Callithrix jacchus: one gene and its partners. The protein of the gene in region 1 interacts with the protein of each later gene in a biochemical or structural test. Links are inferred from orthologs where the notes say so. Each region holds a gene or a part of one and is shown on either strand. Other genes may lie near its edges.

Region 1 (4,081 bases):
TTCAGTTCCCCATGGGGAAAAACGTCTCAGTTCTTAGCTGAAGCACCTTTGCAAATGTCCAAGAGGAATCCCAACTCCCTAAGACATAATACTCAAAGCTTTTACAGAGCCAGCGGGCTAAGGGCTTGTTACTCTGCGGAACATTCATGCATGTATTACCTCTAGTTAACAATTACCTAGTCAGTACTAGAGCAAAGGCTCTTGGTGTCGCCAGGAGGCCATTGCCTTCATGTGGGCCTTGAACTATAATCCTCTTGGATGCACTGAAAATAGGCTCAAAATAAAACCAGATAAGTAGCAGTATTGTATTTTTAGTCTGAATAATCCACTTGTAATATTTACTAAAGTAACACCACATCAAAAGTAGTGGTGAGAAGCTTCTCATGTGGGTGCAGTTCATTATTCTTCATTTGTGCATGTGTGGCGGGGACGGGGAGTTCAAGGGCGACTCTAAGAGGTCACTCATCTGTACTCTGCCCTGTGAGCCAAAAACAGCTTGTTCAGGCCTCCATGTGGTATCGAATACTTGGGAGCAGCAAGGATAGGTTGAACTCGTCCACTGACCAAAGAAGCTGTGGTTTTTCCCAAAGAATCTGTTTGCTCCAGGACTGGAGGAAATCCTCAAAGTGAAAATGACCATCTTCAGGACAGACTCATACCTCATCCTCACAGAGCCATCAAGGAAAGGGCCCAAGGTACCCACCTGAGGGCAGCTGCTAGCAGGGTCCTGGAGCTGAGGAGCTGTGGGTGCCAGGTTAGGGTCTGCCTCTGGTCCTATCTGTTCATACAGCAGCTGCACTTTGTTCAACTCTAGAATTCCTTTGGTTCTAGCCAGATTCTGAAGATGTTGTCTAAATGCTACAATTCCTGAAAGAAAGTACAAAGATCAAACAGTTTAAATAAAACAAGGCCTTTCAGTGATCACAGGTGATCACACCAACGTGGCAAGAAACCCCCCACACGACGCAAGTTTCAAAAGGCAGAGGAGGAAGGGCTACCTTGGGTGAGGGAGGTATCTGATGCTCTGCGGCCCTCTCTGAAGCTCACTGGAGACCTGTTGTGGACCTCTCGCTTCTGGGAGCTCAGAGCCTGCATGGCTGGGTTGGTAGGTCTGAGGCTTATGAAGGGAGATGTCACGCGGGGTGAGGGCTGATTGGTTAACATGATGTCCTTAAGGGAAGGGTTATCCTCCAGGAAGTTCAGGTCCCTCTGAACAGACCCCATATCGTACTCTGAGTCCACACTGTCAAGGGAGGGGCTGTCGTTCACGGAGAAAATTTTCCCTTTAAGAGAAAACAGAACAGATAAAACCAACAGCAACAGTATCTTCTTGGAACATAGGGTACAAAGCATAACCAGCTTGAGTCTTGACAATTACCATGTCCTTAATCTCCAATCAAAACATCTTTCCAGAACCTTTTTACTGGCCAACTTAGTCATCTTCAAGTTTAGCGGGGAAAATACTCCAGAAGTGGCATCTGTAAGATCTCTGCCACTCCAAAAGAGCAGAGTCCCCGATGAATCATACAGCACCCAGACGAATCCTGGGGGCTACGGGAGCCAACTCAGACATTTCAATCACCTTTGATAGCTGCTGCCAGTCTGGGTCTGCTACACCTGCTGAATCTGCTCCATAAAGGAATAAACTAGCGACTCAACTCTAGGAGTTGGCTGGCAGCATGACCACTTGCTGGTGACTGGAGTATGAGATGACACCATGGAGACTCAACCTGGTGTCGCCTCTCTACTGTACCTGCCCCAGGCATCATGACCAACTGATTGGTCACTTCTGACAGAGTGTGCCGTCTTTGCCCACTGCGCGTGGACTGAAATGCCTCGAAGGCATGAGTGGGGTCTTCCTCAGCCTCTCCTTCTGTCTCCAGCCCTTCGTCAATGGAGGTCTCCATCATGTTGCTGGGAAGTGACTGGCACCCCTTCCGTACCAGGACAGGAGGCACGGGGTCAAGCAGACAGCCATTTACCTACACGCCAGGAGAGAGGAAACTCAGTTTCTGTACCACTGAGACAGAAAAATCCAGAGAGGAAAACATGTCAAGACTTGTGGCAAATTAGAAATTAAGTAAAATATTTTAAAATGCACATGTTTATTATGAATGACAACACACAGATTAGAAGTGAAGGCAAGTCAACTGCAGGACTCAGAGACAGAAGCCTGTTATGACCCGAACTGGCACTGCTGCCCAGGTTTCTCTGAGTCATCATTACAACAATAAACAACTTTTTTAGTGGTTTCCAGAAGAACAGGGGTATATTACTTTGAGGCCTACCAGTTATTTTTTTTTTAAATAAGGGAAATGAAGAGAGGAAAGATGAGATTTTTTTTTTTAACTACATGGCTCATTGCTAAAAAAAAAAGGGGTAGTCACCAACATTCTTCTGTTTTTCAACTATAAGCATACTAGAAGGTTTTAGAAATACTTTTATGTTCATAATTTAAGTGCCTGCCCATTTGATTTAGTCTTTAATTGGTTCTATGTGCCTGAGGAATGGAAAGTAAAAATTCTATATAGACAGACTGATACCACAAAAAGGATTGAAAAAAAATTCCAGTGGCAGACAGCCGAAGCCTTTCATTGCAGAGTAACAAATGGCTCACTGGCCCCAAATTCCAGCAGAGGCTAATAAGCCCCGGTGCACTGAATTCTGTCTCCTCCAGCAACACACACATTATCAATGGTTCCTATCCCACAGGGGTGAGCGCAGCACAGCCCCTCCTAAAAGCACTCGCCCTTCCCATGCAGTTGCCATGCAAACCGCCTAATGGAAGGCAGAACAGGAAAGGGGGTGGGGTTGTGGTTGCAAGTTCTGGCTGGTAAAAGCCCCTGTGAGGAGGTAATTATTTACCTCATTACCTTAACTATTCCCCCGTGGAAATCAATCCATTTTCTCCTATGAATAGCTGCTCAGGAACAGCCAGTCATAAGGACACTCAGTTCTAAGCAGCACTTTCACCTGGAAAACACTGGGTAGAGCTATTGTTTCCTTTGGAAGCAGGAGAGGCTCACGTATGTGAGAGGGGGCATGGGGTTTCCCTTTGCCAGACACACAGGAAACTTCCCTCATACGGCAGCCAATCTGAAGGCACTGCGAGGCCCTTTATTTGGAGAAGGAGACTTGGGTGACTCAGATCTTTGTTTGCTGCAGGGAGGGGAGGGTTATTCCATAACATCCGTTCTGGGCTCCAGCCCTCACTTGGGTAAGGTGGCTAATGCATAACAGGGTTTTAAAGTGATAAGCGGTCATTTAAGAGGAAGAATGGCAGATGCTTCCTTCCCAGACTGGCCAACCTTCCCCATGGCAGCAGAAAGCAAAACTCTGAAACTTGGCCAGCAACTCTTACTCTTTCCTTGGTCCTTCCCCAGATAAATTTTCCTTTTTGACTAAACTTAATAGTTTCCCTGTAAGAAAGAATGGCTATTTGAGAACTTACATTCATACTTCTAAGCTCCTTAACTGTGTACTAATATAATTTTCTAAAACTAGCCAAGAATGAGTATGAGATGAAATGAATAAACCAGCAGAGAAAAGATCATTCAGTCACTATCTACTGAGCATCCTTACACTCACAGCCTCCATCAAAATTTTACCAGACATTTCTTATAGGATAAGCCATACAAGCAGGTTCTTTCTTTTTCCTCCTCCTTCAACTTTTAACTTCCAGGGTATAGCTGCAGGATGTGCAGGTTTGTTACATAGGTAAACGTGTGCCATGGTGGTTTGCTGCACCTATCAACCCATCACCTAGGTATGAAGCCTGGCATGCATTAGCTATTCTTCCTGATGCTCTCCCTCCCCCGCCCCCCCTAACAGGCCCCAGTTTGTGTTGTTGCCCTCCATGTGTCCATTCAGCTCCCACTTATATGTGAGAACATGTGTTTGGCTTTCTGTTCCCGCATTAGTTTACTGATGGCTTCCAGCTCCAACCATGTCCCTGCAGAGGACATGATCTCATTCCTTTCCATGGCTGCATAGTATTCCATAGCGTATATGTGCCACATTTTCTTTACCCAGTCTATCATTGATGAGCATTTGGGTTGATTCCATGTTTTTGCTCTTAAGA
Region 2 (4,793 bases), on another chromosome or scaffold:
TGGTTGGAGTCCTAGGCTGGGAGGGGTTGCTACTCCCAGCTTTCTGGGCTCCCTTGAATCTGCTGCCCATCACCCTGCTGATGGAGACCTTCCCTTCCCTTCCTCTTGAGAGGGCCTTGTTGGCCAGGATGAGATTGGGACAAGGGGTGATAAATGACATCCCTGGACATACCGTGAGGTGTCCACCAGCGCTAGGCCTCTGAGGGAGTACTGCTCCATTGTCTTTTTCTAGAATCTGCCTTGGCTTCAAAGCTGCAGCTCCAGAGCCCTGTTTCTTTCCTGGTCCACCACTGGGTACCCCCTGGCAACATATACATCTTGCCAGTCTAGGGCCTGGCAAACCCTGCCTCTGCCTATAGGTGTGGTCCCCCAATCCTCCTACTCCCAATCTGAGGGCAGGGGACCCCTTTGCCATCCCTGACTGGTGGAAGCTGGCTGGGAAATTGGGCTCCAGGAGCCATAGCCACTGTGTCCTTGGTTGGCCAGCTCCTCTTGGGCTCCCAACAAGAGGGTGAGGTCATCCAGTCCAGAGAGAGGACAGGTGTCCCTGGCTCCATGCCTGGAGTGGGGGGCAAGGAGGGGGCTCCAAAATAGCAACTGTGACATCAGGAAGAGGGAGGGGGATGCAGACACAGGAATAACCAGGCTATTAAAAGGCTCTAGTGAGGTCAGGGGGCCAAGTGGGATCTCTGTACCTGTGGGAGCACAACCTGAGGAGAAGGGGCAGGCCAGCAGTGGGGAGGGCATGGGAGTGGCACGGGTCCTCACAGTGCACCAGCCCTAGGACCCAGGGAGCAGAGCCTATGCTGCCAGGCCTGAGTCTGGCTGGTGGGGAATGGCTGGATGCTGAAAGACTACTGACTCTTCCTAGCGAGGCACCAACCTCAAGTCTCTTCCTACTTGAGCACAGGGTTTATTGTACCTGTTCATAGAAACCCTGGGAAATGGGAGGCAGTGTGGTGTGGTGGGTCGAGCTCAGACTTGAGTCTCGGACATCCCAGCCCTGTCATCTAAGCAGCTGTATGACCCAGGGTGAGTGACCATCTCCCTGTGCCTCAGTTTTCCCTTCTGTGCCTCTCTCCCAAAGTCACCATGCAGAATGAGATGATGTATGTGATGTTCTTAGCACCACACCTGGCACATGGATAGGGAGGAGCTACCTGTGCTGCGAGAATGGGCAGGTGTTCCCTGGTTCGCTTTCCCAGGCTTGGGGTGAGGAAAGGGGACCAGGGAACCCCTGTCTGCCCAGGAAGAATATCCCTACCCCCTAGAAAGAAGCTGAGGCTGAGCAGCCTCTGGAGGCGACACTCCAGAATGAGTGGGAGGGAGCTGCCATTGGCAGGTGTTTGGGGGTCTCTCTGCTGGTTGAAGGACTGAGGAGGCACTCCATTCCTCAGCTTTGTGGGAGGGTAGAATAAGCAAACCTCCATGGGCTGTTAGAACTCCAGGGAAGTTGCCTGTCTGCCAGCCTCTCCCAGACCCTTTCTATTCCTTTACCTGGTCTGGAAGGCAAGAGGGCAGATGGAGGCTTGAGTCTGGCTTCTTGGTCTCTGTCCCCTGGCTTGCTTGCCAAAAGTAGCAGTCAGAGCCGCTCCCAGATGCATGGGTACCCCAGCCAGCGCCCTTCCCCAGCCCAGCCTCTGGCCACCTATCGCTATGGCCTTGGCCCTGAGTGCAGGCCCTCCCCCGTTCCCATCCCCCTCGCCTGGCGCTTCCTCCTGGGGTAGAACCGCCTCCCCCCCATGGGGCCTCCTGGCAGCCGGCCCGCAGCTCCCTGAGCATGCTCCACCTATTTATAGACAGGGCCCTCCCCCAACTGCTATTTCAGTCTCCTGCCAGCTGCCGGCGGTGGCTCATTCGGGAAGGAGGAGCAGGGAGCCGGCCCAGAGCTGTCACCCAGGATTGGGAGGGAACACAGAGAGCCCGCCTGCCCGCTGAGCTCCCCTTCCTGTCCCAAGTGCTCAGCCATACCCCAGCTCCCGGGAACCAAGGAAAGGCTGGTGGTCGGATACCCCTTTAGAGCAGAGCTGGGCCTGCAGCTCTTGGGCCTCCCTGCCCCTCCTGCCGTCAGGAGTGCCCAGGCCGGATGAGGCACTTCCCCACAGTACGCGTCCCATTGGCAGTGGCCTGAGGGAACCCCTGCACAGTGCGGGCCACCTGACCACCTTTCCTTGGGCTGGCTTTCCGCCTCTGGCGGTCCCCTCCCTGGCATGCTGCTGGTGCCCAAGGCTCAGGGGCTCGTGGAGATGCTGCAGACCATCTATGAGACAGAATCCTGTTTCTCAGCAGATGGGATGTCAGGCCGGGAACCATCCTTGGAAATCCTGCCTCGGACTTCTCTGCACAGCATCCCTGTGACAGGTAAGTGCCTTGGTGTCCCTGCCTGCCCTCTGTCATTGGGTATCCTTGTCCCTGGGCTGAGCATCTGGCTCCGAGCCTTGTGCAGATAGCATCCTGTGTAGATCTGTCTTGAGAGTTTCACTGAGAATACACAGGGCTGGGGGATCCCTGCTCAGAGAGGCCCCTGCCCTCCCTGCCCAGAGCCTGCTGCTCCCCTGTGCCCTGCAGCTGTACTCTGCTGCTTCACTTCCAGTCACTTTGGCCTCTGGCAGGGTCAGCATCTGTTGCTAGGGGCTGGGGGTTACTGGAGGATCCTGGCCTAGTTGGCAGTGTGGTCAGAGGGGAGGAAGTGGGTCAGTGACCCGCCTCCTTGCTGCCCGCTCCCCAGGTTTGGGCAAGGGAAGAAGGCGTAGCTAGGTGTCCACAGGAATAAAGCTTACCCCGGCTCCTCTGGCTTGGTTCTTAGGGCTAGAGCATCAAGTCCAGTAACTTCCGCCAAGTCCCCAGCCAGGAGTCTCCTGAGAATCAGACACTTGGGGAGGCTTGGTATAGTTGTGATGGAGTTAGGCAGAGGCTGGCAGCTCGGATATTGAGGGGCTTGGCTGCCTTCGCATCTAGCTGGCTCCCGATATCGCTCCTCTCCCCAGGTCTGGGTTGATTCCCGTGTCATGAGGATGAAGAGGTATTACTCTGGCTCAGATGGGGTTAGGACCCCCTAATCCTGCCACCCTCTCAGCAGTAACCTTTTTTGCCTCTTGGCTAGGGGTGGGGTCCCCCAGAGCTGGGCTACTCCTTCCCTCACTCCCGGCAACCTTTCGGCAGCATCAAGCCTTTCTGGCACAGCCTCCCCACCAGGCCGGCACCACAAGATGCTTCTTCCAGGGAGGGGCCTGCTGGACCCATGCCTGCTTGGCCCCTCCTGGTAGTGGCTTGGCATTCAAGTGTGGGTGACTATGTGTGTGCACGTGTGAATGGGGAGTCTTTGCCTATGGATATGTGGGAGTGCATCCCAAGCTTCGAATTGGAAGGTGGGAACTGTGTGCCTCTGCAGGTCCCTGTGATTTGGCTCTGAGCTGCCCAGGGATAATGTTGCAGTGCGACTTGGATGTGTCAGAGAATAAATGTTTCGGGAGGATTCAGAAGATCTTTGGAACATGGCCTATCATCTTCCTGAGCAGGGATACCCCTGCAGTGTTCTCACGTAGGGGCATGGCCCTGGAGACTAGCCCTGCAGGGTATCCATGCAGGCCCCGGGGATAGGGGCCTTACCCTGGGGCCAGCCCTGTAGGCTGGGGCTGGGATGAGGGTGTAACCTTGAGGACCAGCTCTACTGTGTACCCATGAAGTCCCGTGAGGTAAGGGCATATGCCTGGGAGCCAGCTCCATAGGCCCCTGGGATAAGGAATAAACCCAGAGGGCTGGTTCTTATCCTGGTCTGGAGTCCACAGGGTCAGCGAAAGACCCTGCCTGCTTGCCCCTAGTCCATGGCCTCCGGGACTTAAGGTGGTCTCTTGGAAGGCAGAATAATCACGGAGCATTTGCTTGGGGCAGCTCTACCCTGTGTGGCTTATCAGGTCCACCCATCCTGTCCTGTCCCCTCCATTCCTTGCTACTAGCAGCAGCCAGCAGTTGGCCCAGAGTTTCCTCCTTGGCTTGTTTACTCACCTCTTTTCAGACTGTACCCCAGAAACCTCGAAGGCTGGACCCTGCTCTCTCATCCCATCCCTAAGCCTGGCTGCCCCTGCATGGACCCCCAGGCACCTCCTCTCTCCAGATGCCTGTCTCCCCACACCAGCCGATGTGGGGGGTGGACCAAGCCTTCTGAGTGGTGGCTTGCTCCATGCTGGCAGGAGGGAGGCGTGAGTCACCTCAGCGGCTCGGGGAGAGGGCTAAGAATGTTCCCCCTGCGCAGCTCTGATGCTGTGTCTGTGACGCGGCTAGGGACAGATATAGGCCTGGAGCTCGGCTGCCTTGTTTTTTTTTTTTTTTTTTTTGGACTCTGGAATGTAAATAGATGTTTCAAATAGAAACACTTTAACCTTTGGGTTAAAAAAAATCCACCCCGGATAAACACGGCCATGAGGGCCCGGGCAGCCTGGTGTTTCCCTCCCCACCCCCTCTCCCCGTCTCTTGATCGGTCTCCAGACAGGATGCAAGAGCCTGGGGCTGAAAAAGCAGGTGTCCAGGGATGCTTCTTTGGACAGTGTGAATTGCACAGGCCTCCCAAGGGGTTGGGGTAAGGGGCTTTTGAGGGTACGCCTGCCTGCCACCTCCAGCAGCATCTTGGAACCCTATTTTAGGGACAGCCTTTGCTCTCTGGGCTGTCTTGGTTGCTGCCATTGCACAGCACCTAGCACAGTGCCTGGCACATGGATGAATGAATGTCGCATGGGGAGGGCTGGAGTCCAGGATTGCTGGCAGGATTCCTGGGCTCTATTCTGGGGCTCGGACCT
Region 3 (4,734 bases), on another chromosome or scaffold:
CACTCTGGCTCAAAAAAAAAAAAAAAAAGAGGAAATAATCTGCCAAAAAAAGGCCAGTGTTGGAGTCTGAAAGGTCTCCTGAGATTTGGTGCAAATAACCCACCAGAGCCCATCTGCAAACTGCCCTCGTCGGTGATATCACTACTGCTTGATATCACCCTGCCAGGCAGAGCCAGATATTCTGCTGCTCAGGGCCTGTCTCATTTGGCATAAGTCTAAGCACAGTCCCTGAGGGGGCTGCCAGGAGCCCCGGGGCTACTCACAAGGGGGAGTGCCTATTAGGAACCTGTGCTTTCTTTCCAGATGTGTCCAGGACTAATTCTGAAATTAAGAGGAAGGCCACAGATGGATGTCACAGAGCCATTACTGCCAGACTCATTCCTTCCCACTCTGGAGAGCAGAGGCTTCTGGGCTCTGCCACTTGCCCAGCCTCAGGAAGGCCACACAAAGCCTGCACCTCCTAAACTAGAACAACCAAGGAATGACAGCTCTCCTAGCTGGAAAACAGCACCAAAACCAAGGGGCATTCTTCCATTGAATCCTGAGGCTCCTGAATTGGCAGGGAAGCCTGGAGAAGGAGGGTGGGAGAGAGAGCAGTAGGCCACTCCAGTATGGGCCGAGCCATCTTCCTGGTCTCATCCTCACTTTGGGGAGATATGTCCGGCATAGATGTAAGACAGCCCGGCATGAATTTAGTCTGTGTACAGATGTCCTATCTCTGTGAGAGGCGAGCATCTATTTCCAAGGCTCAGGCCCTGCCAGCAATCAAATCAACAGGCCCAGGGCAAGGCCATGGGGAGGGCAGCTGAGGAGGGGGGAGTTCTAAGAGCTTTCAGGGTCACACTCTTGTACAGAAACCAACAACAGAACTGACTTTCTGTCCCAGGAGGTCAGCCTCGTGAGTTTAGTGGGTACTGCGCTGACCTCTGGGCCACTTTAAGACCACTAATAACATACGTGGCAACCCCTGTCTCTCAGTGGTATAGCCCCCAATGGCCATATCTATCTCAAATGAGCCCTCCCACCTGACCGGATAACAGGCTGAGTCCCTGATCTCTAGTCCCTAGCTCAAGACTTTTGGGTCCCCTGGCCATGTATACCCACTAGACTTTTCTGTGTAGATGAGAAATTAACCAGCAGGAGCAAGGTGGGTAGAAGGGGCCTTTTAAGAGATCAAGGCACTGTAAAGAGAAGCCCCAGCTTTGAGTTTCACACAGCCTTTCTTTGCACACAGGAGCCCTAAGAATCCACCATGCCTCTGCTAGAATCACAGTCCGCAGGGCAGGGCCTCATGCTATCAAGATCAGCCTCCCTCCCATCTTCCTGTCTGTCCCCAACATGATGGAAAGCTCCTAAAGGGGAGCAGTCTACAGTTAAATATTAATCCTCACTGTGGTTACAGTGGGTTATGCACATGCATGCATGTAAGTGTGCAAATGCGTGCACAGACACACCCCAGATTTGCCTCTCCATCCAACTTCTGACTCCCACAAACTAGGGCACATGGTCCCAAGAGACTCAAAGGGGAAACAACAACAACAAAAGACTAACAGTCAAGGGACATACACACAAAAATACAACCAGGGTCAGTCATAGATGCGACACAGTCAGACCAGCAGAAAAAGGCTGGAGATGTAATAATGTTCCACCACCAACCCTTAAATTCCTTCTAGCTCTCAGCCGTGAGGAATCACTGCAACATCCTCACCTACTGTTTTTTAGAAGAATGTGTCCCTAAATTAAGATAGCATACCACATAGGCAGACTCTCATCCTTGGCTCCCTCTGACATCCAGCCTTGGGAAGCAACAAACCAAGGCCACGGGGGCTTCAGAGGCAGTCTGGCAGAGGCCTGAAAGTTCTTTCAAGAACTTCCTAGGAATGAATATTCCCTACAAATAGAAGACTCTCCAAGGCACCCTACACACTGACCCATAAAACAGCCACCTCCCTAGAAAGCTCACCAAACCAGAGTGCCACACGACTTAAGGTCGAACGGTTACCAGTTTTATACAGGATTCAAAACCCTACCTCTCCTCCAAGGATGCCAGGCAAAACACCAAACGATGAACCTCACCTTCATTCACGTCAGGAAACCACAGGAAGTATTTGAAAAAGGAAGCAAAAGGACGGGACGCTGGAGGGGACTTCCTGCCCCACTATACACAGCCCCTCTCGTTCAAACCACTCAAAGGGTCCTTTCCCAGGGGCACAAAGCGGGAAAAGTAGCACAATAGTAGGGCAGAGGGACCAGTCTGGAGAAGATCACAAACTCAGAGGAGCCAGATTAGAGACAAGCAGTCCTCCTCCCAGGCCATACCCCAATAGCAGGCATGCTTCAGTGGTGTCCTCGATGGGACTCCGTCAGGGATGCACAAGGACCACTCACCTCCTACCTCCGCCAGACTTCAGGCGACCGTCTCCCCTCTCCGCCCACTCCCGCCTCACGTACTCGGCCCCCAGGCGACTCTACGCTCCCAACCTCTCCGGAGTTTCGGTCTCCCCCGGCAAAATCCGTCTTCCGGCCCCTCGGCCTTCGCCAGCGGCCCCTGCCCCGTTCCGCCTACTCGGCTGCGGCGCCCGCCCCCGCCCCGCCTCTCCGGTCTCTGCTCCGTAACTGCTCAGCTCTGTTCGGCACCCCGGCGCGGCCCCTCACCCGGGTGGAGCCGATGTCCATCATCACCTCCTCGAAGGCCGCCGTCTCCTCGGCCTGACGCTGCTTCTGCAGCGCGATCTTCTCACTAAATTTGCGCGGATTGGAAGCCGAGGATGTGGCCGAGCCAGGCCCGTTCGCCCCCGACGTCGCCATCTTCCTCCTCCGTCCCTCCCTGCCACCCTCTCAGTACCAGCCGCGGCCTCTGCCGCGGCTCCGGCCCGGCTCTTCCAGCCGTAGCCACCGCCGCCTCAGCTAGCACCGCGAACCCGGCCCCAGCCTAGCCCTGACCTGTTGCGCGCGGGGGCCGCCGGGAATTGCAGTTTGTTTACGAGACTCCTTCACGTCCCCAGTCACACGGCACCGGAAGGAAACGGACTTCATTTCCCAGCAGCCCGCCTGACTCCGGGAACTGGGAACTTCGCTCCACCCTCTCGGCTACTCCCTGCGAGAGGCAAGCTGGGAAGAGTAGTTCTAAGTTAGTCCTGAGCCTACGAAGGCAAAGGGGAGAGGGATTAGGGAGGAGGAAAGGTAGAGGAAAGAGAAGGGGAGGGGAGGGGTGGAGAACGGGAGAGAAGTACCAAGACACAAAGGAGGAAACATTTGGTCATCTTTCAGGGAAGGGCACTATCGGAACCTGAGTGAAAATTAGAACAAAAATCTTACAACAGCTGGAAACATCTGGGACTCAGACCCTCTCAGGCTGGCCACATGCCCACCCCTTTCCCAAGAAAAATGAGTCAGATACTGTACAGATGTCTAGAAACATCTTTTATTTGGGAAACAGGTCAGTTAATAAAATAGATTCTAAAGAATACACAGCCCTCCCTCCCAAAAAATAACCCTGGGGGTAGGCATTGCCCTTCCCCCTTGGGCTCGAGTATATTTAAAAAAATGTTTTGGCAGCTCAGTGTTTATCATCTGGGCATGGGGCACCGTGTCCATGTCCCATATTCCTAGGGTACAGCAGCAGTAGGTGGCTGCAGCTTTCCAACCTTCCCCCTACCCCAGCGTAGCAAATATTTCTGCCCTACCCCAGGATCTTGGACCAAAATAAAGAACAAGCCGGCCCCCTTCACTGAGGTGCTGGGTAGGGCTCAGTGCCACATTACTGTGCTTTGAGAAAGAGGGAGGGGATGTTTGGCACTTTAAAAATAGAGGAGTAAGCACGACTGGAGGTCAGAGAAGATACCAAAATTGGCAGGGAAAGACCATTTGGCACTAGTCCCCTGGGAGACGGGAAAAGGGAAATAGATATGAGGGTAGGAGCTAAGAAAAATAGGAGGGTTCCACTCCAAGTGGCAGGGTGCTGAAATGGGCTAGGATCAACAGGACACTGACTCTAGGTTTATGACCTCTCCGTACCCGTCCCACAGCAGCTGATGCCCATCTCCAGCCTCCCATGTCAGCCTGTCCTTATGTATAGTGTCCAACCTCTGATTCTAGTAGTCAAGTGTCTTCCCCAATCCTAATGTCCCCTGATCCTGTCTCTACCGACTTGGACCATCTCTTGTTCCTTGGGACTGGGGCCAGCCTCTTGTCTGCCCACTTCCCTCTCATTAGTCAGATAGCCCCAAAGGCTCTATCTTTAGCTCCCAGAGAACTTTTTGGTCCTCAGTACTTCCCTTCCCCATTCCTTCCTATTCCCCACACACTGGGGGAGGGAAGGGAGAACAGGGGCACGTGATCATCAATCTCCCCTGCCCCTCTCTTGAAGCCCCCTAGATTTGGATGAAGAGCAGGCCAGTGAGCAGAGCAAAGCCTGCTAGGAGCAGAATGACCTTGAGGATCCTTTGCTCAGAACTGGCCAGCTCCTGGGGCAGGATTTCCAGAAAGGTGATATAGAGAAAGGTGCCAGCCGCCATGCCCTCTAGCACAGACTGGGCCAGCTGGTGCAGAGGTCCTGCTGACTCTGCCAGAGCTGCACCCAGCCCGATGCCTAGAGGTGTCATGCATGAGAAGAGAATCCCACAGCCAGCCACCACCTGTGCCCTAAGGTGGCTCTGCAGCAGCCGGAGGGACAGACTGACAGCCAGGATCCCCTTATGGAGCAGCAAAGCCAGGCACAGCTCCATGGCCCGA

Evidence for each region. The genes of interacting proteins can lie anywhere in the genome.
Region 2: of the proteins of SIK2 (region 1) and HDAC5, one has a biochemical effect on the other in vitro, tested with the Homo sapiens proteins (2 studies listed by BioGRID). The link is inferred for Callithrix jacchus from reciprocal best matches to the Homo sapiens genes SIK2 and HDAC5.
Region 3: of the proteins of SIK2 (region 1) and CRTC2, one has a biochemical effect on the other in vitro, tested with the Homo sapiens proteins (2 studies listed by BioGRID). The link is inferred for Callithrix jacchus from reciprocal best matches to the Homo sapiens genes SIK2 and CRTC2.

The regions. Positions count from the first base shown.
Region 1 is NC_133511.1:11,417,206-11,421,286, reverse strand, and holds part of SIK2 (serine/threonine-protein kinase SIK2), read right to left. Parts: intron 1,983-4,081; coding exon 1,754-1,982; intron 1,284-1,753; coding exon 999-1,283; intron 868-998; coding exon 704-867; intron 1-703. UniProt on the Homo sapiens protein: Serine/threonine-protein kinase that plays a role in many biological processes such as fatty acid oxidation, autophagy, immune response or glucose metabolism.
Region 2 is NC_133506.1:70,958,260-70,963,052, reverse strand, and holds the start of HDAC5 (histone deacetylase 5), read left to right. Parts: upstream 1-1,850; 5' UTR 1,851-2,210; coding exon 2,211-2,361; intron 2,362-2,780; coding exon of another isoform or gene 2,781-3,010; exon of another isoform or gene 3,011-3,143; intron 3,144-4,005; coding exon of another isoform or gene 4,006-4,058; exon of another isoform or gene 4,059-4,231; intron 4,232-4,793. Other genes in the region: uncharacterized protein LOC118153996, read right to left, coding at 2,781-3,010. UniProt on the Homo sapiens protein: Responsible for the deacetylation of lysine residues on the N-terminal part of the core histones (H2A, H2B, H3 and H4).
Region 3 is NC_133519.1:14,384,455-14,389,188, forward strand, and holds the start of CRTC2 (CREB-regulated transcription coactivator 2), read right to left. Parts: upstream 2,944-4,734; 5' UTR 2,809-2,943; coding exon 2,656-2,808; intron 1-2,655. Other genes in the region: SLC39A1 (zinc transporter ZIP1), read right to left, coding at 4,374-4,734. UniProt on the Homo sapiens protein: Transcriptional coactivator for CREB1 which activates transcription through both consensus and variant cAMP response element (CRE) sites.